Kluyveromyces lactis: one gene and its partners. The protein of the gene in region 6 interacts with the protein of the main gene of each other region in a pairwise test. Links are inferred from orthologs where the notes say so. Each region holds a gene or a part of one and is shown on either strand. Other genes may lie near its edges.

What was found.
Region 1: the proteins of CDC48 (region 6) and UBX3 interact in binary tests that used the Saccharomyces cerevisiae proteins (3 or more experiments, as listed by UniProt). The link is inferred for Kluyveromyces lactis from reciprocal best matches to the Saccharomyces cerevisiae genes CDC48 and UBX3.
Region 2: the proteins of CDC48 (region 6) and VMS1 interact in binary tests that used the Saccharomyces cerevisiae proteins (3 or more experiments, as listed by UniProt). The link is inferred for Kluyveromyces lactis from reciprocal best matches to the Saccharomyces cerevisiae genes CDC48 and VMS1.
Region 3: the proteins of CDC48 (region 6) and SMT3 interact in binary tests that used the Saccharomyces cerevisiae proteins (3 or more experiments, as listed by UniProt). The link is inferred for Kluyveromyces lactis from reciprocal best matches to the Saccharomyces cerevisiae genes CDC48 and SMT3.
Region 4: the proteins of CDC48 (region 6) and SSM4 interact in binary tests that used the Saccharomyces cerevisiae proteins (3 or more experiments, as listed by UniProt). The link is inferred for Kluyveromyces lactis from reciprocal best matches to the Saccharomyces cerevisiae genes CDC48 and SSM4.
Region 5: the proteins of CDC48 (region 6) and RAD52 interact in binary tests that used the Saccharomyces cerevisiae proteins (3 or more experiments, as listed by UniProt). The link is inferred for Kluyveromyces lactis from reciprocal best matches to the Saccharomyces cerevisiae genes CDC48 and RAD52.
Region 7: the proteins of CDC48 (region 6) and BRE5 interact in binary tests that used the Saccharomyces cerevisiae proteins (3 or more experiments, as listed by UniProt). The link is inferred for Kluyveromyces lactis from reciprocal best matches to the Saccharomyces cerevisiae genes CDC48 and BRE5.

The regions. Positions count from the first base shown.
Region 1 is NC_006042.1:680,663-683,719, reverse strand, and holds UBX3 (clathrin-mediated endocytosis regulator UBX3), read left to right. Parts: upstream 1-1,318; coding exon 1,319-2,557; downstream 2,558-3,057. Other genes in the region: RAM1 (protein farnesyltransferase), read left to right, coding at 1-934; RNA-binding signal recognition particle subunit SRP14, read right to left, coding at 2,676-3,057.
Region 2 is NC_006042.1:1,086,661-1,090,167, reverse strand, and holds VMS1 (Vms1p), read right to left. Parts: upstream 2,367-3,507; coding exon 501-2,366; downstream 1-500. Other genes in the region: DNA-dependent ATPase RDH54, read left to right, coding at 1-469; uroporphyrinogen decarboxylase HEM12, read right to left, coding at 2,670-3,507. UniProt on the Saccharomyces cerevisiae protein: Endonuclease that cleaves polypeptidyl-tRNAs downstream of the ribosome-associated quality control (RQC) pathway to release incompletely synthesized polypeptides for degradation.
Region 3 is NC_006039.1:125,693-127,723, forward strand, and holds SMT3 (SUMO family protein SMT3), read left to right. Parts: upstream 1-1,249; coding exon 1,250-1,531; downstream 1,532-2,031. UniProt on the Saccharomyces cerevisiae protein: Not known; suppressor of MIF2 mutations.
Region 4 is NC_006042.1:2,566,262-2,570,315, forward strand, and holds SSM4 (E3 ubiquitin-protein ligase SSM4), read right to left. Parts: upstream 2,801-4,054; coding exon 29-2,800; downstream 1-28. Other genes in the region: KLLA0_F27709g (uncharacterized protein), read right to left, coding at 3,309-4,054. UniProt on the Saccharomyces cerevisiae protein: E3 ubiquitin-protein ligase which accepts ubiquitin specifically from endoplasmic reticulum-associated UBC6 and UBC7 E2 ligases, and transfers it to substrates promoting their degradation.
Region 5 is NC_006038.1:140,959-144,223, reverse strand, and holds RAD52 (recombinase RAD52), read right to left. Parts: upstream 1,812-3,265; coding exon 501-1,811; downstream 1-500. Other genes in the region: E3 ubiquitin-protein ligase TOM1, read right to left, coding at 1-1; NDC1 (Ndc1p), read left to right, coding at 2,720-3,265. UniProt on the Saccharomyces cerevisiae protein: Involved in DNA double-strand break (DSB) repair and recombination. Promotes the annealing of complementary single-stranded DNA and by stimulation of the RAD51 recombinase.
Region 6 is NC_006042.1:553,099-557,286, forward strand, and holds CDC48 (AAA family ATPase CDC48), read right to left. Parts: upstream 2,801-4,188; coding exon 308-2,800; downstream 1-307. Other genes in the region: HNT1 (adenosine 5'-monophosphoramidase), read right to left, coding at 3,442-3,836, 3,985-4,036. UniProt on the Saccharomyces cerevisiae protein: ATP-dependent chaperone which probably uses the energy provided by ATP hydrolysis to generate mechanical force to unfold substrate proteins, disassemble protein complexes, and disaggregate protein aggregates.
Region 7 is NC_006039.1:1,666,814-1,670,283, reverse strand, and holds BRE5 (Bre5p), read left to right. Parts: upstream 1-1,488; coding exon 1,489-2,970; downstream 2,971-3,470. Other genes in the region: CCR4-NOT core DEDD family RNase subunit POP2, read left to right, coding at 1-637; OCA4 (Oca4p), read left to right, coding at 3,383-3,470. UniProt on the Saccharomyces cerevisiae protein: Has a role in de-ubiquitination. In conjunction with UBP3, cleaves ubiquitin, leading to the subsequent mono-ubiquitination of sec23.

The DNA of each region.
Region 1 (3,057 bases), about 130 kb from region 6:
GAATCCCACTTGGCTTACGAACGATTATCAGAAGCGTATTTTGGACAAGCTATGGTATATATCACCTACAGGTGGTCCCTTCAGCGGCGGAAAGCATCAACTACCACATCTAGCGGCCACATACGCTGCTATAAATTCCATCGCTCTATGTCACAATCTCGATGATAACAGAGAAATCAATAAAAAGGCTATATACGACTGGCTCATTTCTCTTAAAACACCTAGCGGCGCGTTCATGACTGCACGCCCAGTCGGCGAACAAGATGTGAGAGGCGTATACACTGCATTATCTATAGCGTCACTACTAGGCATTGTGGACTCTAAACTAACAAGTAATGTGACGGAATTCTTGACAAGATGCCAATCTTACGAGGGTGGTTTCGGAGGCTGCCCAAATGATGAAGCACATGGTGGCTACACTTTTTGTGCAGTAGCCAGCTTGGCAATGTTGAATGCCTTAGATAAGGTCAATATCGATGCGTTATTGTCATGGTGTAGTTCTCGTCAAACTAAAGAGGAGAAAGGTTTAAACGGAAGAAGCAATAAACTTACAGATGGTTGCTACAGTTTTTGGGTTGGCGGAACTGCTGCAATCTTAGAAGCATACGGGTATGGAGTATGCATAGATAAAGACGCCCTAAAACAATATATATTGAAATGCTGTCAATCGGAAGAAAGCCCTGGCCTAAGAGATAAACCGGGAACACAAGCGGACTTTTATCATACCAATTATGTGTTGGCTGGTTTATCAATTTGCGAACATTCTTTTATGGTCCGAAACAATTCACCCTTCGATTTTGTTGCAACTCCACTTGTGCCAGAACCGGAAGTTGAGCCTATTCATCCCATATTCGGACTGGCTATCCTTGACGTTAACAATTTCATTAATAGACGCGGAGAACCATCCATGTCTAATCTGTCAATGAAAGTGTAATGAATTCACGATTAACTCTGATGGCATGTGTAATACTATAAAACTATATACTCATTATGATACCTAAATTAACATGACTCCATAGGTGAAGAAAATAACTTTCGGAATATAATAAAATTGAGAGTAGCAATCATCGGGAATTATACTCTAACTATTAAATGCCTTAGTTGTACTATTTAGCCGTGGCGCTTTTCTTTGTGAATTTCCACTCACGATGATCTATCATTGTCTGTCCATTAAATTTGACATTTAAAAAACAATATCAGACATCCTTTAAAAGTTGTCAATGGTATCCATAGGGTAAATCTTCAGTAGAAGAAGAGAAAGCTTCACCTATATTAGAGGCTGTACTCTTCTATAGAAACGAATCTGCAACTGTTGAACATGGTATTCAACATTTTCAGTAGGCCGTCTCAGCAGAACCAACCTGCAGTGAGTTTTACCCCTCTCCCAGGATCATTCCCTGAAGACAATGATAATACAGAACAACCTGAACAGGAAACAATACTGAATGCTGGCGTTCCTAGAATATTAAAAATGTGCTTATACATTCCACTAACATTACTATATTACTTGCTCAATATCCTGTTAACTTCGGTGGAAGTTTTCAAACCAATAGGCAAGATCTTTCATTTCTACACAAGAAAAGACAATCATTTCAGCGATGATTTGGGTAACCAATTCGTAAATGTTATAGATGTCCTTTCTTCATCAGCCGATACCAACGAACAGAGTGGTTATACATTCGATACGTTGTACAATGTAGAGAATGGAATGTTGAGCAAAAATATGATTAAGGGTGGTTACACTGATATCTTACGTCGGTGTTCCAGCGATGGTAAATTTGCAATAATATCTTTCTTCAATCCGATACTATACGATCCATTCGAGTACGTAAGAAAGATTTTAACTTCCAACGAGTTTGTAGAATGTGTCACCAAATATAATTGCGTTGTATGGTTTTGCGATGTTACAACACCACAAGGGCTACAGACTGCTAATTCTTTAAAGATTAGACAGTTTCCATTTTTAGGTGCCCTTGGACCCCAACGGAATAATAAAATGAAATTGCTTGCCAGAGTGGAGGGCCAACTATTTGATTATGATTTCTCTCATTTTGAGGCCAAATTAGCCTCATATTATTCAGTATTAGTTGAGATTAGAAGGCAAAGACAGTACCAGGAAATGCAACGGTTATTAAGAGAACAACAAGATTCGAGATACCAAGAATCGCTAGAAAGGGACCAGGAAAGGGATAGGGTAATCGAGGAAAGCCAACTTAAAAAGAAATGGTTGGCTTGGAGAAAATCTGTACTAGTGCCAGAACCATCGGGTGACGGTTGCAGAGTAAGCATCAGACTAGAAAATGAAAGAATTATTAGAAGATTTGATGCTTCATTAACAATTGAGGAGATTTACGCATACGTTGCATTATACAGAGCAGGTTTATTATCTGACACTAGCAGCGAGAATGATATTACACAAGAAAAACCAAATTACGAGTATCAGTATGACTTTCAACTATATTCACCTGTGCCCAGAACCCGTTTGGAGCCAACCACAGTGATCAAGGAAGAACGGACAATTTATCCATCGGGAACAATTGTCGTGGAGTTCGAATGAAAACCAAATTACTGGTTTGCAGTTTGACATCTATATATGTATATATAACATGTACTTTATAATGCTACACGATTGCGGATTTATGATTCATGGGTGATAATAGGTTGGGAATATTTCATCAGTTTTTCTTACCACCCTTCTTCTTCTTCTTCTTTTTAATTAATCCAGACATACTTGTTTTTACAACATTAACATAATCCTTCCAAAATTTATCAAGAGTCTTTGAATCTACCAAAGTGAAGAATTTCGTTCGTTTCCCATCATATGGCATGCTCACTAGCACGATAAGTCTGTATGGTTTTGTATCTGGTTGAGCGTTTTGTTTTAAACGTTTGGATTCTGACATCTTTGAGATATCACCAGTAGGATTGGAAGTAACATCCAATTCATTAGGTTTTTGAACGTGATGACTGCCCAAGTCTCTTTTCAAGCTTACTTTGAGCTGATTGTGCGATACCTTGGACATTCTGAAAGCTTTTTCAAGCTTAACAAAAAATTCG
Region 2 (3,507 bases), about 530 kb from region 6:
AATAGCGCTTTCTAAAAAGTTCTTGGACAGTGCCACAGATCAATCAAAAAATGATGATGATCTTTTTCAGCAGGAAGAGTTGAAGGACTTGTTTACCATTAATTTGTCCACTTTATCCAATACCCACGACTTAATTTGTAATTGTTCTGGTGAAGTAGAAGTGCTTGAAGAAGAAGAGATAACGGGTACTGATGAAGCCAACGCCCAGCCAGAATACCAGGCTGCTGCGACTCCATCAAACAATCCTCCTGCTTCAATTTGGATCAATGCTCTAGAAGCCCAAAAAATTATAGAGAAGGAGGAGATACTTCGAAATGGAACAAAGTCAGAAATCATGAGAAAATGCCTATTGGGATACAAACATATTGATCCACAAAAGACTAATGACTTAATTGACGAAGCTATGAATAACGTCTTTGATGATGCACGACAGTACATCACTTATGCTTTGGTAAAAGACTCCGTGTAAAAGTTATATATGTTACTATTTATACTTGCATCTAGTTACCAGAAAATCTTTTCATTCTCGCTTCAGCTGCACGAGCTCGCTGCTCTCTCATCAATCTCATCCGTTGATCATCAGTTAAAGAGTTCAAATTTATTTGAACGTTAGAGGATGCGGCGCCAAGTTTCATTCCGGGACCTCTTTTAGCATCTTTTTCCTCTTTGATTCTTTCCTTTGCCGCCTGCAATTCTTTTTCTATCAAGTCTTTCTTTTCTTTCTCTTCTTCGAGTGCTATCTTCTTGTGCCTTTCATCTATCTGTTCAGCCGATAATGCTCCACTAACATGACTTTGCTCCCAATCCGTGAAGCTTTCTCCTAAATTATAACGCGCCAACTGGAAGGTTTCCTTGACCATGGTGTCACTCGCCAGATCCCACGCTGTTTTTCCAACATTGTTAGTAATTGTAGGATCTGCTTTTAAAGTGGACAACAACACCAATACCATGTGTTTCAAGCCGTGAGATGATGCATAATGTAGCATTGTTGGTGTGTGATGATATTCAGAAGAGGGTTGCAAAGTAATATTGACATCAAGATTGTTTTTCTTGATATACGATATTAACAGCGGCGCCTTACTCTTTTGAATAAATGAGATTAGCTTTTCGGTATGTTGTTCATCTTCTGTCTTCAGAGGCACTGGTGTTGGAGAATTTGTAAGTTTCCTAGGTTTGTTCTTTGAATGATCAGTTTGCAATTTTTTGACTTTTGGTTGAGGTTTGTCCGTTATCGATAAATACGTCAATTGAACCCAGGCACGCCTTAGTTCATTTGAGGATGGGCGCATCGTAGTGAATGGGAAAGACTTTAGTTTGACATCAGTTTTAGAGATGCAAGTATTATCTAAGAAGATCTTTCTATCTGTGACACTATTGGCTCTAATGAAAATATTGTCACACTTTGCAATGTAGGGTTCCCAATCCTTTAACAATGCTTGTATGTCTGCTTTCAACGCTGCTTCATTATATCTACGTAGAGTTGAACCAGCGGAATTTGCCTTTCCCTTGGCATTGTCATTTGCTGATTGGGAGCCACCTTGCTTTCTTCTGGTAGTGTATCGATGGAACGTTTTCTGTTCCAAAAACTGTACTGACTGCTCTTGTAGAGATAGGATATATTTATTTTTGTTATTACCATTAGTTGGTATCTTTTGATGCGATACCACTGCTCCTGCAAAATGACCGCCGCCAATCATGAACAACACAGAGAAATGCTCGGTTTTATCCTGATTTTTCCAATGATGAATTGATTTCAATGGGCATTTCAATTCCTCTGCATTAAATAGTACTTTATAAGCCCCGAAAATTCTTGGTCCCGATAATTCAGCAGAATGCATGAATATTAAAGGAGATTGTGTGTTTAAATGAGAAACGGGTCCCGTTTGGTTGTCATTGATCATCAAATCCTGGAGTTCATGCTCGAGAATTGCTGTCAACTGCTCTCCTCCTCTTGTAGAAATATCATCTTCTTCTATTTCATCTGTCTCATCATCCTCACCAGATAAAGAATCACTGTCAGAATCTTCTGCAGTGGCTGTTTCTTTACTTTTAATCAACTGCCTAAACTCTTGCTCATCGACTGGAGATAAACCGTAAACTCTTCTTTTTATGTTGAATTTGTGTAAATCAGTTTTAAAATGATATCGAGGATCAGAATTATCATTAGGAAATGCATTAATACCACATGAAGCACATGAAGGTACTGTTTTAACCTCAATTTCCTTTTTGTTTTCGATTTCTACATCAGAATGGACCACTTTAACCTCATTCATATCAGAGTCGAAAGATATCAACTGCAAAGAAGAAAGGATCTCATCAGACAAATCATAGACGTACAAGTCATTCTTTTGTATTCTGTCGGACATCAGTTCAGGGAATCCACACTTCTTTGAGCTCTTTAACACCTCTTTTAAAACGTTTCACTGTGTGATGGCAAGTTTTCATGAATGAAGAAGATTTATTGAAGTAACAAACTTTGAAATATCAAGGTTTCACTATAAATAAAGTACATTGAAGTAAAAAACCATACATGACCAGACTTGATCAACTAAGCAGGGTAAAAAAATGGATTTACTGACATCAGTATGTATTAAACAGAATGAAATGGTATATACATGAAATAAATTGGATGCAGAAAGGTAGTAGTCTATTTCCGATTTTTGATAGATTTATTGACTACCGACTCTGTGACATTCCTGCAAAAAGAATTTGATCTTCTCTGGATCCATGAATGGATGGGTACCATGTCCAAAGTTTACAATGTAATGTTGCTTACCTCCGCCGAAACCATGAACCATTTCAGTGACTCTCTTGGTAATAATCTCATCCGAACCGTAAATTACACCAGGGTCCAAATTACCCTGTAAGGTAACACGGTCACTGTTGATCTTTACTGCCTCTGCAGGGTCCCATGACCAATCTAAAGAAACTGCATTATAGCCACTGTCACATAGTTTGTCTAGTGCGTACCATGATCCCTTGGCGAATACTACCATTGGAACACGTTCTTCGATACCCAGCTGCTTTAACCTTGGTGGAACTCTTTCCGCAATTTGCTTTAGGTACGGTAAAGAGAACTCGTCGAAATCACGAGAGCCTAACTCGCCACCCCAACTTTCAAACACTTGAAGCATCTGACAACCAGCAACTACCTGTTGGCACAAGAATTCGACCGCAACGTCAGTAATCTTCTGTAATAATTTATGCGATGATTCTGGCGATTCGTTTAACCATTGCTTAGCGAATCTGAATAAACGCGATCCACCACCCTCGGTCATATAAACCAATAACGTCCATGGAGCACCACAGAAACCTAACAAAGGCACTTGGCCGTCCAATTTAGTACGAGTCATAGTGATAGCTTTAAAGGCCCATTCTAGTTCGTCTAAAACGTTGACCTTATAATCCAATACCTTTTGTAGTTGCTCTTCAGTTCTCAACGGTTCCGGGAAATGAGGGCCTTTCCCCTCAACCATCTCAACTTTCATACCCATGGCCTGAGGGATC
Region 3 (2,031 bases), on a different chromosome or scaffold from region 6:
ATCCAATTTACTAACCATGGGCAGGTGGGGGAAGGAACTGAGGGAAAAGGCAATCAGAATACGATTGCCATCTCTTTGGCTGAGGCTAAGCTACGCATCTAACAGCTTCTAAAGTACCTCCAGTCTTGGATCGCTCAATGGCTACATCGTCTCATCTCGTCATCTTGTGACACACTTCTTAACGTTACTGCGAATGAAAAAAAGTAAAGAAAATAAGATTGTGCCATGAACCAAAAGAAAAGACCGCAAACTGCATACAAAAAGATTCAATACGCCACTTTCGAACAATCCCTGGCGCGGGATTCTAAGGGCTGTCCAGAGAAGAGCCTTAAATATTCCTGGAACAACCCATACACCTTCCTATTTCTTTTTCAAATGATCAGCTTCACCCAGTTAATACCGCAGCAATGAAAGAATATGGTCCTGCAGTTTCCATTTCTCGATGGAGCTTCCAGTAGAGGATGTAGCCATCACCTGCAAGGGCGACAAAATAGAAAACTGAAACTAAAATAAAAAGGAACGAGGTGGAAAACCCAAATTGGGCTAAGAGAAACGGTCTACGGAGGTTCTATTTCTTTTTTTATAAGAAAGATAGGGTAATAATCTCGGTGCTTTTAGTTTAATGGCACTTGAGAGAACGGGTTTAAGGTTCCAATATAGCCCAGACAGTTATAGCTTTATCGGAACAAACGAATGAGCGGTGGTGATAGCGTTCGGCGACAAAAATCCAATGCAACACGGACTGAAGCTCTATCCAAAAAACTGAAAGGAAAGTGCCCTCGTGATTTATATTTACAGGGCATTTGCGCGCTGTAGCACGCGTCTTATCTTTTTGCTGTACTTGGCAAAAGGAAACTTCCGGCTTCCGGCTAAGTGTAACCCGGCCATGGCCGGGTTACGATTAATCCTTTTGCCAAGTACAGCAAAACAAAATGGGCAGGAGTGAAAGATCACGTGCCTGTGGGTCGTTACCCTTCCCTCCCCTAACTTCTCATTTTCATGCTCTCAAAAGGAAGAAGGAAACTGCTTTTTGTTAGAGCTCTTTTCCATGTCAGTTGACAGTCGAATTTCAGGACTACAGTATTTTTTTTTTTTGGCCAGGAATTAGTTCAACAATACAAATTACCTTAACAAACAAAAGCTCAATCTATACTGCCGAGAGTTAGAAGAAGAAAAAGCGAGTCTTTAAACATTCATTGAATCCTGTTTCTCCATTCTTCAACGCCTATATATATAACCACAGTTTGAAATGTCAGAAGAACAAGAACAAAAGGTGGATGTTAAGCCAGAAACACATATTAACTTGAAGGTTTCGGATGGATCCAGTGAGATCTTCTTCAAGATCAAAAAGACCACTCCATTAAAAAGATTAATGGAGGCATTTGCTAAGAGACAAGGTAAAGAGATTGAATCCCTAAGATTCCTTTACGACGGTGTGCGTGTGTTACCAGATCAGACCCCTGAAGATTTGGACATGGAAGATAACGATATCATTGAAGCTCACAGAGAGCAAATTGGTGGTAGTTTGTAATTGGGAGTGTACTTTGCAGCAGTAAGTGGGATCAACTACAGCATTCCCATCCTTTTTTATCTTTCAATGTAACCTATCTAATGTTATAATAACTGACTATGTATCTGGAATATTAAAACTACTTTGGATGAACAACAAGAAAAGTGCCCGCAAGCTTATCTGCATTTCCCCAGGGAAAACAGTCGGTATGGAATTAGAAATGAAATCCGAATGGAAAGAAAAAAGAGATTGGGTATCAAATGGCAGGGCTTATAACAGACCTCCTGCAAATTACCACCCTTGTATTCCTATTTCGATTCGAAAAGCTAGGTTTGCTTCAAGTTTCGCGTTTTTAGGTCTTTTTTTTTTCAAGTCATTTTCCTTCCTAGTATGGTGAACATTCTTTTCAATTAGTATAACTGTTACAGTAAATGATTTTAGAAAGAATAATTTACCAGAAGTGGAAGAAATATTAGCTGTCTTGTTAATAGTTTTCTGCCACACTCGTTTTGAATTTGGTA
Region 4 (4,054 bases), about 2.0 Mb from region 6:
ATCTATAAAGACATCTTGACTGATCAAACTATTCTTCAAAGTTTTTTAGTATCCTTCCTCTTGCATACACTTCGTCTCTCACACTTTGAGATAAAGAATTGTAAAGCGACTTGGATAAAATTGAGCTCACAGTTAGGAACGCCGAGGAAATCGTCACTACATCAACGTAGTAGAATGCCTTTTGAAATGTAGTCATAAGGGAATGATCTGCCGAGACAGAAGGCTGTATGAAAATGAAATAAACAAATGGTGCCCATGAAGAGGTGTAAACTTGTTTGTGGGTAAGGAATTCAAACATAGAAAAACTATATTGCAGAGCAAAAGGTACCGCAATCATTGCAACGAGGTACACAAAGCATATATCCGTGACCCTAATGAGTAATCTTCTGAATCCTAATGTTTTATTCCGCTTCAAACTGCACTGTACCGCGATGTACGCCACTGCTGCTACTTGACAAAACAATAGAGCAGCTATTAATGAGTAAGCTGAATAGCCGCTGTATTCTGATTTTGATGCGAGGTTCGAAAGGAATGGAACAAACGATATATCAGGGCTTGTGTTTTCGAGAACGTCGCCTTTCCAGTAGAAATCTTTGAAGTAGGTGAATATGAAGACCGAATGATAATTGATATTCAACTTGAAAATGATTGGCATAAAGTAGAATGTAAAGACTGGATACACCATTGTTACAAAGCCTTTGATCAAGTTCCAAACATCACCTTCAGCAATTTCCGGTACTCTAAATTCATTGGCTACTGGATTTTCATCATTTTCGGGAATATTATCATCATTGTGAACTATATGCTGATGATTATCGTCGTTTGGACCGTTATTTGGAACATCCCCATTGTGTTCGGCATTAACCTCCAATATTCTGTCATTTAGATGGATATTATTTAATAGATGTGCGTGGTAGGATGACAAAGCGAGAGACAAAAGTATCATACCAGAAGAAACGGAAAGAAGATTTAATGGTTTTACACTTTCATAGAGTTCATTTTGAAATTTCATTGCTGGGGGGATAACCGCATTCAACAATAATTGCAATCCAGTGATAATGGGAAGCCCAGCAAAATTTGAGATTAATAACACAGCAGTAAACAAAAGGGAAGCAAAGATCCATATGAAGACAATTAACAGCGAATAAGTGAAAGTAAAATGCGGAGGGACATAAACTACCTTATATTCATCAAATTCCGTGGGCTGTTTTTCTAGGTAGCCAAATTCTCCGGCATTTCGTTTCTGTCTTTCTTTGATTTTTTCGATATCCAATGGCTTTAGAAGTTTGTCATCCTTAGTAACTGGGACGAACAACAATTGTGCATATTTTTTTGATATTATGTCGCTCGCAGGTACGCGCATCATGGTGCCATCGGGGACAAAATATGCGTGAACATCAGGAATAGTTTTGAAAAGAGTATAGGTTTCATCGAGCGATTTTGGATGAGAGTATAATTCTAGGTTGGACAGTTTTGCCTTGTTTGGGACGAACCATTTATAGTAAAAGTTCCTATAAATAACATGTCCTCTCTCAGTTGGTGAATCTTTTCCTAAGATGAAAGAGGAAAGTCTTAGTTTTCTGCAGCATATATTGAATACAAAGACCCAATATTGTCTAACATAAGCATCAATAACTCTATTCTTCGAGAGAATGAGATACGTTCCAGCAATGACTGCAATAGAAAACATAGAATTTGGTTTTATGAGAGTTGACAATCCATGCTTCATAGGTAAAAGTTCCGAATGTAAAATGTAAGGAAACAAAAGTCTCGTATGAAATCCAAAACCTACTAAAATGAATGCTGTATAGATTGCCATCGACAATGCAAGTCTGGAGAGTTGAAGTTTCATTGGGTATATCAAAGAATCCTGTAATAGCTTAATATTAGGATCATCTGGTGATCTTATGAAGAAAAGAACACCCGGTCTGATAATATATTGTCTTACCATGCCGACATATTGAGCAAAATGATACATATAAACAGTACCAATCGCCCAATAAATAATAAATGTCATAGGCGGCCAAAAGGAACAAAAACTCGGTACGAAAGTCAAGCTGCTCTGTGGTAATAATAGCGGTGAGATCAGTGACACATCAATCAAAAACCCCGCTAAAATCGGAAATCCGGCAAGTTCAAGTGTAAACAACCCTAGCACTTTCAATGTGCACTTGATGATATAGGAAAACTTGAAAATCGTTCTTTTCAAAGAATTCTTTAGAGGTAGCTTCTTGGAATGCCCTCTAGATAACAGTTCTGGTATACAGCAACAAAGAACTATGAAAGTCGCATATGTACTGGCTGGCGCCAACATTCGTACCAGCATCGTATGTTTTGCTGTGCCTTTCATGTATCCCTGATAGTACGATACTATTGGCATTAAAACTGTCCCATTAATCCAATTTTCAACGTAGGATACCAAAGAAAAAGTTTCTATAAGCTTTTGATTGTATTCTGGGATATTTAACCTCTCTGCTGACACTATTACTCCATTCAGCATTATAATCACAACTCTAAAATAAATGAAATTCAACAGATATCCGACAAGTGTGGCTAAAGCGTATGAAATGAAAAGATATCCACCAATGACAGAAAAGACTAAGGAAAAGTAGCTCGGTAAATATTTGTAATCAAGATTTAAATTCAAGATAGCCGTAGGTTGACCATCTTCATTCTCTAGTACAACCGCTGGTTGAGCATTTATTCCATCTTCTTGTACTTCTCCTTCAACAGGCTGAGGTCGTCCGAGTTGAGCATCCAACCGCCCATCGAGTTCTCTTTGTGCAAAGTGTCTTTCCATAATGGATTGTGAATTAAAAGTACAGTCGATTAATAACTCAGCTAATTGGTAATGATATGAATATGTTGCAGAAGAAATATGATATTGTGATCAGAAGAAAAGAGTAATGCAGGGATCTAATGCGGAAAACTCAAGTTGAAGATTCAGTTTCTATGATATAATTATTCAACTTCAACAGCTATACAATTGTAGCAAAGATTAAATATTGTTAACCTGTTGTACTTAGTTGTGAAACGAGATCAGTCGACGATGTATATACTGATTGTCTGCGCCCATGTTGAAATTTCCTTCTTCAAATTTCAATTTCCATTATAAGCCGGGTAATACCAAATTCATCTTTGAGAATCTAATGGGCTAGCATGTTTTACTAAAGCAAGTGAATGATTTGATGGGACAACGAGGGAATTATATTGTATATAGAAGTTTATTTCGAACTGGAGTGAAGGCTGATGCAATGTTTCAATATGAAGATTATCAATATCGTAAATATTTAAATGGGGGATTATAGTTAGTTGGCAAGCTGAGGCTCATCATTATTTTCGTTTACGATGAAATTGTTCTGTTCTTGTTCGTCTTCTGAAGTATCATCTTCATTTGGATCGTCTTGTCGTTGTCTATTGAGGGCATTTATGAGCATGCTTATATCATTTGGATCCATATTTGGAAATCTTTCTCTTAATGACTGCATGGCCAGCTCTTGTTTTGAAAATCTTGGTCCAATCTTATGCAAGATCATCTTATTGAAAATTGGCTCTCTGACTACCATATCATATTGTAAATATGCGATAGCATGCACGATCAAAACCATCAGAATTTGTAACAACGAAAATCTGTAATTTATCACTAGTTGATATAAAATATCCGTAGTTGTTGGATTTTTTGGTATGTTTCTTTCAAAGCCATAAATCAAATTGATATACCATTTGTTATTTGAAGGAAATGAAAAATCATCCACAGTAGCCGTATATAGCTTCCCCCAGATATTCCAGGACAGGGGAATTCCAATGAAGAAAAGGAACGCAATCAATGTGAATTTGAAATAGTGATTTAATTTGCCAAAGATTTTGAAAACGCTATGTTTCAGAAGAAGTAGAAGTGGGATCTTCTCTGGCATTGATTCATCATACAAAGTTTGGAACGCGATTGGATGATTACAAATCGAACATACCATCCCTGCACCAGGTTTTGTAACATCGACATGTTTTGACTGTAGCCATTCGATCAAACATAATTGATGAATATATTTGATGGAGC
Region 5 (3,265 bases), on a different chromosome or scaffold from region 6:
TCTTTTGTGTTGATGATGGCAAACTAAAAACCTCTTGCGATGGGATTTGCTCTTCCTATTGTTTGAAAGAAAAACCAAGGTCTCAAAACAGAATGGCTGTTATACACAAAGTGAAAAGGTAGCCTTCAAAAATTAACGTTCTGGAAAGCTGGAACGTGATACAGAGACGTGTTCTTAGGCGATTAATTGTCTATATCTGCCCTTTGATAGTGAAATCTTATTAAATAGTTATCCTCAATTGATCTTATGCCTAACGCTCGCAATTATTTTCATTTCGTAGAGTGTGATCTCATGTTGTGGAATAAAAAATGCGTAGGGTGCAAGTGAATATAGATTAGGCATGAGTAACTAATTATACATATAGCGGTTGGATATTTAAATAACACCTGTAGGTTACAAACTTGAGATGTGGCAAAACCGTAACATTTATCATTTCTTAAATTCTATGATTTTTCATCTTGGCAGGTAATTCGATGACTTTAGTTATTCTCTAAGACACTTTATGACACATTTCTTCTGTTTGGCTGTTGCAGCATACGAGGTCTTCCAAGTTGGGTGCGCTGAGGACCTTGCAGTTGCGGAGCAGGTTGCGGTCCTGCTAGTTGTGCATTTGATCTTGTTGGGGTACTTCTGTTACTTTCTGTTGCGCTCGTTTGGGGAGCAGCAACATATGGTTCAGAATTTGTCGTTGTGCCAGACAGTTCCTTGCCCTTAGGAGCGAACTTGGAGTAGATACTGGACCTATCACTGTCCAAGCCCTTTTCTTTTAAAATAGTAGCTCTGACTGGTGTAGATACTGACTGGTCAACGGTATGTCTTATGGACTGGGCTTGAAATTTAGGGTCAAACATAGATCCTGACGGGATGGGATCTTTATGTTGCAGTGATGTGGCAGCTTTAGCAGTAACAAATGTCACAGGAGAGATAATACCAGTAGCTTCATCTGATATTGTGGTTGTGGTTGTACTGCTATTAGTAGAATTTTTGTTATTTGTTGTCGTATTCATATTGAGTAAATCGTCATCTTGTATTTCGTCGCTAAACATGAAAGAATCATCAAGTAAATCATCAGGGTCCTGCTGTTGATTGCTAGTTTCTTCATTCGGTGATGCGGATGCTGTTACTGCTTGTGCTTTTGGTGCTCTTTTCTGTGTTGTATGATTATTTGACCGGTACGTTTGCTGTGCAGGTGCAGAAGGTACGGCATTTCTATCCTCATTTGTTAGGCTTCTTTTCTTCAAAGAAGGTCCCTCAGTATGCGCATCTCCAACCATATTTGATCTTGACATCTCACTTAATTCATCTGCAGGTCTGAAAAGGTTTCCCTCGTCAAAATCTGGGGGATCAAACTTCACTTTATCAATCTTAGCCAAGAAATCCTTATCATAAAGACAATTCCCAAGAGCGTTTCCGAACCCTCTTAACGATCTTTTCAACGCATCTGTCACTGCAGATTTCTTGGCACGCTCGAAAGCGCTGGCTTTCCTCCGTTCATTTTCCACGGTTCCATACCCAATATCCTCTCTGAACGTTCCATCGGCTAACGAAACACGAACAATAGCGGTGCATCCAATACTAAATCGACCTTGCCTTTCGTCAAGGAAATCTATAGTGACATTTTTAACCTCCGTAGACCATCCGTCATACCCAAAAATCTGGTTTGCTAGATTGATTGCTTTCCAGCCTTCGATATATGCTACTCTACTGGATCCAAATCCTACTCTCTTTGAAATATATTCTGGTCCTAGCTTCTTATCTAACTTCGTTTGAATGTCATCTTTACCATTCTTGCCACTTCCTGTATCCTCCATATCTAACAAACTGCAAAAAGGAAAATTGATGCGAGTCGCACTAATATACCAATCCACAAAATCTTCTACCAGTTAAAGACACAAGCAAGGTGGTATCCTGTCCAATTCAACAGCGCAAAATCGTTAACTGTTTGACCTAGTTTGTTTAAGTTTTAGTTTATCAATACAGTAAATTTGAAAAAAGTAAACAGAGCAGTAGCTTAAATCACGTAAACTTGAAAAAGATCTGTTTCTATCGGTATTAAAAGACGCGAGAGCCATGTAAATTGAAAGGAGTTTTGAAAGGATGGCAATGAAACTTAACATTATCATTATAGGATTGGCAGTACCTGTGCTGTCATAGAAGTACTTACATTGGTCATGAAAGTGGCGACGCAAATCATTCTAATATTTTCAGTACTCTATGAGTGACCTTGTATATATTTGTATATATCTTTTGGACAAGAATATCAACTTTTAAGCGTTAAAGTTGACACGAGACCATTGTTACAAGAAAGAGAAAGAGAATATGACACATATTTAGTTGATTTACTTATTTACATGTAACAACTGTTTACGATATCATCAGGTTCGCGTTTAGCGTCTATATGTTGAGACTGACCTCACTGACAAGGAGGTGATTGTCTTTAGTTTCGAGTTACCATGCAAATCAACTATGACATTGGCATAAGAGGGTTACCCGAATATCTAATTTTTTTATGACGCCTGATCTCTAGATCACAACCTGTTAAGAACTTAAAATGCTTGAGATGATATACAAATAAATAATATAAGTAACTCGGAAGGTAATTGATTGTCCTAAAGTCCAATTGACCTTTGTCTGTTTTAAGCATCTAAAATTACTCAGCTTATTGCTATACAGGCTGTACTTTTACCTGTGTTCATCTTTGATTGGTTTGTTTTCATTGATGTCTTACGTGCAGAGTTTAGGACCGGTTGCACCGCAACTGCGTGATTCTCGTTTTACTTACCATCGGATATTCAGTGGGGTATGCAAGAGCAGGTTTAATAATTTCGCCAGGGGTTTACTCTTCAAAACAGCGGTACTTGTCGGTTTAATTACAACCATTACGACACAATGGGAGTTGTCGAAATCTCAGAAATTACTGTTATGGCCAGTAAAAATATTATCTTTCTATGTTGCAATGTTGATGCTAATTATTACCAGGAAAAACTATCTTCATGTCAATTACCTTGGATATACGAGCTGGATAAGCGCATCATATGGCCAATTAGTCTCCCGTAAATGGATCACGTACCTTTTAGTTTACGTTGTGAGCGCATTCTTCCTTTCTTTGACATTTTCCTGTTGCTTTTTCACTCCAGGTACTGGTTCAAGAAAGCATTCACAGCATTACGAATTTTGTTGTCAGTTTATGGTACCTTTTTTGTATTCCATCCAACATGTACTTTTAGATCTTGACAGACTTACTTTCAACTACGGTGCTCAACAT
Region 6 (4,188 bases):
GTATTCATTAATATAATTTGGTTTTACTTCGGAGACCCTGTATTGCTTTGCCTGGCGAAAATATACCATTGCACTACTAGGTCGAATTAAAGATGAATTCAAGACCCAAAATTGGAAGGGATAGCTAAGACTGATGAATCTTTTAACCATATTAAAACCAGTTATCTCAAATATCCTGTTACACGTGATTAATAGATAATATTTAATCTCTACGTAAATTTAGCAACAAGTATTCCTCTGTATTGTAATTTATTACATTTCATTTTGCATCGAAAAAGACCTGTTATGTTTTGTGAAGGTTATGTATCTAACTGTACAAATCATCGTCATCTTCACCAGCGGCATCTCCGAAAGCTGCACCAGAACCCTCAGCACCAGCTTGAGTTGCGGCAGCACCTGAATCATCACCAAACGAGAAGTTGCCGAATTGTCCTCTGGATGCCTTCATCTGTTGAGCATAAGCTTCGTAACGACGAAGCTCAGTATCTGTAACAGAACGCTTGGCTGTTTTCATAGCTTCAGTGAAGTGTTCTTTGGTAATGAATGGAACTGGATCCTCTTGTTGAACGTCTGACATTTCAACGTCTTCTTCTGTCTTGACCTTCTCGGTTTCTTCTGCACCTTCTTCTTTCTTGACAACTTCTGCACGTTTTTGTGCCTCGATGGAATCTTTAATGGCAAACTTCGCAGCTCTCTGTACGATATATAATAAATCTGCACCAGAGAATCCCTGTGTAGCTTGAGCGATGGTCTTTAGATCTAGTCCTGGTTCTAATGGTGTATTTCTTAATTGGGCTGATAGAATAGATAATCTTCCTGTTTCGTCTGGTAATGGAACGTAGATCAATTGATCCAATCTACCAGGTCTTAAAATAGCTGGATCGATTTGATCTGGTCTGTTAGTGGCACCAATAACGAAAACGTTCTTCTTGGCGTTCATACCATCCATTTCGGTCAATAATTGGTTAACCACTCTGTCAGATGCACCACCTGCATCACCTAAAGAACCACCACGAGCCTTAGCAATGGAGTCCAATTCATCTAAGAAAACGACAGTTGGGGCTGCAGCTCTGGCTTTGTCGAAAATATCACGGATATTGGATTCGGACTCACCGTACCACATACTTAATAACTCAGGACCCTTGACCGAAATGAAATTAGCAGACACTTCGGTGGCGACAGCCTTAGCTAACAAAGTCTTACCAGTACCAGGAGGACCGTAGAACAACACACCCTTCGATGGTGACAAACCAAACTTGGTGTATTGATCTGGATGCAAGACTGGATATTCGACGGTTTCCTTCAATTCATCCTTAATTTCATCCAAGCCACCGATATCATCCCATGTGACATTAACAGATTCTACAACGGTTTCACGCAATGCGGATGGGTTGGAGTTACCCAATGCAAATCTGAAGTTGTCCATAGTAACTCCTAATGAGTCCAACACTTCGGCGTCAATTTCGTCTTCATCTAAGTCAATTAGGTCCATCTTTTCACGAATTTGTTGCATAGCAGCTTCAGAACATAGGGAGGCAATATCAGCACCAACATAACCATGGGTTTCAGCGGCCAACTTTTCTAAGTCGACGTCGTCAGCCAACTTCATATTTTTAGTGTGAATACGTAAGACTTCCAATCTACCAGTAACGTCAGGAACACCAATATCGACTTCTCTATCAAATCTACCGAATCTTCTCAAAGCAGGATCGATAGAATTGGGTCTATTGGTGGCTGCAATGACAACGATGTTGGATCTAGCCTTCATACCATCCATTAGAGTCAATAATTGAGAAACGACTCTTCTTTCCACTTCACCGTTAGTCTTGTCACGCTTTGGTGCAATAGAATCAATTTCATCGATAAAAATAATGGCCGGAGCATTCTTTTCTGCTTCTTCGAAAGCCTTTCTCAAGTTGGATTCAGATTCACCAGCCATCTTGGACATGACTTCTGGACCATTGATTAAGAAGAAAAATGCACCTGTCTCGTTAGCCACAGCTCTGGCCATTAGAGTTTTACCGGTACCTGGAGGACCGTACATCAAAATACCCTTCGGAGGTTTGATACCAATGGCCTTAAATAGTTGTGGGTGTCTCAATGGCAATTCGACCAATTCTCTAATTTGAGCCATTTGCTTACGACAACCACCAATATCATCATAACCGACTTCATTGATGTTATTTTCTTCATCTTCTCTGTTAATTGGCTCACCTTCACTATGAATGACAGTATCTTGGGCAACAACACCGTACTCTTCAGGCTCAACGTCTACGACCTTGAACTCTACTTGTCTCATACCACCTCTAACGATAAAGTGGTCACCTTTTCTAACCGGTCTATAAGCTTCGACAAAGTATGGCTTCAAGTACACATCAAATAGATTACCAGTCAACCCCTCGATGGTGTCAGCGATTGGCAACACTGAGATTCTGGAAGCATACTTGATATCGGTACATGGATGGATAGTGACCAAATCACCGAGTCTTATTCTCAAGTTGTTACGAATAACACGGTTTACTCTACAGACACCATCTTCCAGTTCGTCATCAATCATAACAATCAAAACGGTGTCCTTTCTCTTCTTACCCTTGACTAAAACGGTGTCACCACGGAACAATTGTAAAAGATCCATAGTGTTAGAATTGATAGCAATGATAGAATTGTCATCGTTAACTGCATCATCGACCAGTAACATGTTTTGCTTCTTCTTTCTTCTCAAGATGGCAGTGGCGGTAGCATCATCTGCGTCAGCTGCAGTGCCAGAACTATCTAACAATTTCTTATGTTCTTCTGGCATGTTCTCTTAATAACTGAGGTGAAAAGTTGTTTTAAAGATACTGTAATTCCTTCTGGTAGGATCCACGATGTAATTAAGCTCTTGGTAAACAGGATATGCAGGTTTCTTGATTAACTTCTGAAATTGGACCTTATTTCTTCTTATTTCAACCAAAAGACGGAAGATAAAACAAAAATTAAATAACTTGATCTAACCCCTAATCTGGTGATTCAATGATTCAATTAAAGGAGACAATTATTGTAAATCCCTGGTGAGTGCTTTATTTAATCTAGCGTTCACTTACTGGTGTTAATCCTGAAAATAACCTTCAAGGATCACCGAAAATAGTGTGCAATACTTATATATAATAAATCGCTTCCCTCTTTATAATCTAGAGATTTCAGAATTTGCCACCGGATATGTGAAATTTCGGCCGGGTAACAATATTTTTTCATCTCCTCTCTAAGAAGATCCCTCCCACAATGCGAATGAGCTATTGGATTCCTTATGTGAATGGTAAGTAGAAATTGGTACAGTAGGAAATATGTAGTTATAATATATATGAGACGATCTCAATGATCATCTTCGTTAGCTTCGTCAGCTTCGTCAGCTTCGTCATCTTCGTCATATCTTGGTCTCTTTCATTGCGAAAAAGATCGCGCTTAGGTTTCTAGTTTGGCAAGCAACTTTTTATGCATTTCACTCAGCTTAGCAAAATCAGTTTCCTGTGCAGGCCAACCTACGATTAATCCAGCATCCTTTGTTTTCTTTGGGATCAAATGGAAATGCACGTGATCTACTTCTTGATGGGCTATTCTACCGTTGTTTTGAAGGACATTGTACCCTGGACCATCAGGACCATCTTGGTCGAAGCCAATGGCTTTCACTAACTTCTTAGTAACTGGCAACAGGTCAGCTAAGTATTCATCTGGGATGTTGTGCAATTTCCCACCGTGGTGCTTTGGAATGATAAGAATGTGGTTCTCTTCAGTTGGTTGGATGTCAAGGAACGAGTAAGAATACTGAGTTTCAACCAATTTGAAAGAAGGGATTTCACCTGAAAGTACACCAGTAGTGGAATCTGTTAGTATTATAGTTCATAAGATCAAAGAGCTAGTCTAAGCCACTTGGGTGGTTGCGAGCATGCAAAAACCAAGGGGAGAAACAGATATTTGTTCTCACCTAACAATTTGAGGTTTACATACCTTTGATAATCTTGCAGAAAATACAAGCAGCGTCGTGGGCAACAGCACTCATTGGTATCGGCTTATTAAACGTTTGAATTCACACGTATCGGTACTTATTGCAATATTTCTTTCGACTGCGAAAATGTTGGAGAATCTGCAACTAATTGGAGTTCAGTCTTTTTTCATCATTATACATTTGTGTATTGGCCCTTATATATATGT
Region 7 (3,470 bases), on a different chromosome or scaffold from region 6:
TTTACAGGGGAATAAACCAGACAACTTCCCATCCACATGGCAATTCAACTTCCATTTCGACGTAACAAAGGAGACCGTGAATTCGGAATCGTTAGAACTATTAAAGAAATCCGGTGTCATCTTGGAGAGACATCAACAGAACGGTGTTGATTTCGACGAGTTTGCTCAGTTGATGATGGATTCCGGGTTATTGTTGAACGATGAGGTCACGTGGATCAGTTACCATGCAGCATACGATTACGGGTTCTTAATCAACAGGCTCATGAACACAAACATGCCCAACAACAAAGAGGACTTCGAATGGTGGGTTCAGAAATACATACCAACGTCGTACGATTTGAACCTAATTAACAAGTTAGTTCATGAGGTAACGCAACAACACCCACATCCACCACCATTACATCTATTACAAAGTCAACAGCAACAGCAACAAAACCAACAACAGCAATATACACTAGAACTACTGGCTGACGAGTTGGGGATTCCGATCTTCCCATTGTTCAGCAGCGCAGCGGGACAAAGTCTCTTGGCACTATTGGCATACACCCAACTCGGTAAATTGTCTTTGTACAAACTACGCAATGGAACAGATTTCAGTTACTACAAGAACCTGATCTACGGAATCACACAGGAGTAATATATGTGATTTTTATGTGCCAGCCTTTCATATAGAGTATCATCAATAATGCATTTATGTATGTGAATATATATATATACATACACAATCATTCTTAAAATAGGGTATAAAAGGTGGCTGACTAGCCACCGTCACTGAACTGAACTGATGCTGACCAGTGCGAAACCCACAGGTTGCAAGAGCGCAACCTGTGTACTTCATTCACCTGGCATCTCGTGAGGCATGATTTCATAAGATGATTGACGAGTTTTCCATTAAAAAATTTTGAAAATTGACTCTTTACATATAATCACTAGATGCAAACATGCACATACTTTGCTTGTGAGGGGCGTTTCTTGTTGTTAGGGTGTCTATTTGGTTCGCTTATCGGTTTTCATGCATTCATTAGAAACCAGACTTTAATCTTTAGCGATAAGTTTGAAGCGTGAGGCACATATACGGTGTTCGTAGTGCTGAAATTTCCCGTGAGTCTGGAAAAAAGCACCCATAGGAAATTAATACTTTTTTGTTATTGTATTCTAGTATACCCTATACTTTCCTGCTTGAATATCCACCGTTAATACACTTGGATTAAAACGTTGTTAGAGCGTTATTAGAGCGTGCTTTTCCCTTCTTTTTTTTTTTTTTGTTTGACAGTTTTATTTTTAATTCATTCAAAGGTCTTTCTGATTGACAACGATTGACTGTATTGCATTCATTTCATACACTTTAGCATTCCAATTTGATTTTTTGATACCCGCGATCGGTTTGAAATTGAGAGTTATCAAAGAATAGTTGAATTCTTTTACAAGAACCAGTGTGTTTTTTCCTGTTTAGATTAATTTGATACAATCACATTTGGTTTGGAAAATATGACCACTTACGATGTGAAAGAGATCGGATATGCGTTCCTAAGGACGTACTATGAACGTATGCATAATGATCCATCGAAATTGTCGTGTTTATATTCTACCACGGCGGAATTGACCCATGTGAATTATAATGAACCTATCAAGCATGACAAAGATTATTTAAACACCGTCAAGTTGATTGGTAAGGATAACATCAACAATTTCTTTACCAGAAACAGCAAGCGTGTACAGGATTTGAAGGTCAAGATTGATTCGTGTGATGTGCAATCTACTGGGTACGAGAGTTCTTCGATTCTGATATTGATATTAGGGGAGCTATGCTGGACGGATTCACCATCTTACAGATTTTGTCAGTGCTTTATCCTGGAACCAGCAGAGTATAACAGTAAAGTCTACGATTTGAAAAACGATATCATTCGTTTCATTCCTGACCTTGCTCCATTAGTGAACCCAGACCAGCCAGTATCACCACCATCTGCTGTTGTTGTTGAAGCTGAGAATGAGAAGCCAAATGTCAACGGGGACGCAGCTCCTGTTTCTGTTCCTGTATCTGTTTCTCCAGTAGTGGTAAAGGCAGCAGCGAAACCGGTTGAGATTGTCAAGCCAATTCCAACTGAGAAGCAACAGCCCTCTACTGCTCCAACGGAAACAAAAGTGGAACAACCCCAAGCCGTTTCAGTAAATAAAACTAAACCTAAGGAAAATGAGGCGATTGCGCCAGCTACTGCTCCTGCTGCTATTGCAGAAAAAGAAAAAGAAGACAAGGAAGACGAAGCACAAGCACAACCAAAAGAGCAAGCGACTTCAGCATCAGCCACCCCAACCTCAACGACAACCCGTTCTGAATCGGTGCCCCCACAAGAGGTTCCTGAAACAGAAGTCACCCCAAAGGCTGAACCAGTGAAAATGACTTGGGCAGGCAAACTCAACAAGACATCTAAACTAACTACAAACTACATCAAGGTAGATCTTCCACAAAAGAAGTCTAAAAGTCCACCTCCAAACGGATTCACCAAGTCAAACAAGAAAAGCAAGCAGCAATCGAAACCAATAGGCGACGTTATCATCCAAAACAGCAGCGGTTTCTACCCAGTATACGTGGGTAACACAAATGGGTTGACCGCATCCGAACTTGAAAGAGCTCTAATAAAAGAATACGGTGATGTCGTAAAAACCTCATTCCAAGATTCGTTCGCTGTGGTTGATTTCAGAGAAAAACCTGCAAGAGACGCTGCCATCGATGCTCAACATTTAAAAGTCGGTGAAAGAGTTATTAATTTAAACCCAAAGGGCGATAAAGCTTCTAAGTACAAAGCCAAGAACAACAGCAACAATAGTAATAGTAATTCTGGTAACACTAATCACAACACAAACGGCAACAGTTCACATAATTCCCCATCACCAGAACTCTCGTTAAACCAAGGTAATTCCACGCTTAAAAAGAGCTCAGTGAAATCCCGTAATGACAAATCAAAGAACTAATCTCATGTACTTTAATCGTAAACCCAAATCATCTCAAACCTAAATGAAAGGCGTGATAAAACCATATTATAAAAAAAAAAACCATAAAAAAAATTAACTAAAACGATGAAACTATGAGTCGGGGAAAACTTGTTAAATATATCCGTATGTAACCTATCCACATGTACATTTTATATATTTCCCTCTCACTATAAGCATATCACCGAAACATTATTGTTGTCTTCCCTTTTTGTTCCTTCTTTCTCTAAGTCACAACCCTTTGAAGTTGGTTCGAGCTTGATGAAATTTAAAGGAACAAAGATCTTCATGTGCACATCACAATGATAGAAAAGGTGATTGGCAGAAAGATCAGTGCTGAAGCCAAGGGGACAGGTGAGGAGATACAACTCTAGGGTCATAGAAACCATCAGCTATGTTAGTTCCTCCAGCGAATTTCGGGATTCCCGAGGAAGGTATCTATCGATGCAGTAAACTTGAGACCATTAACCTATCATTTTTGG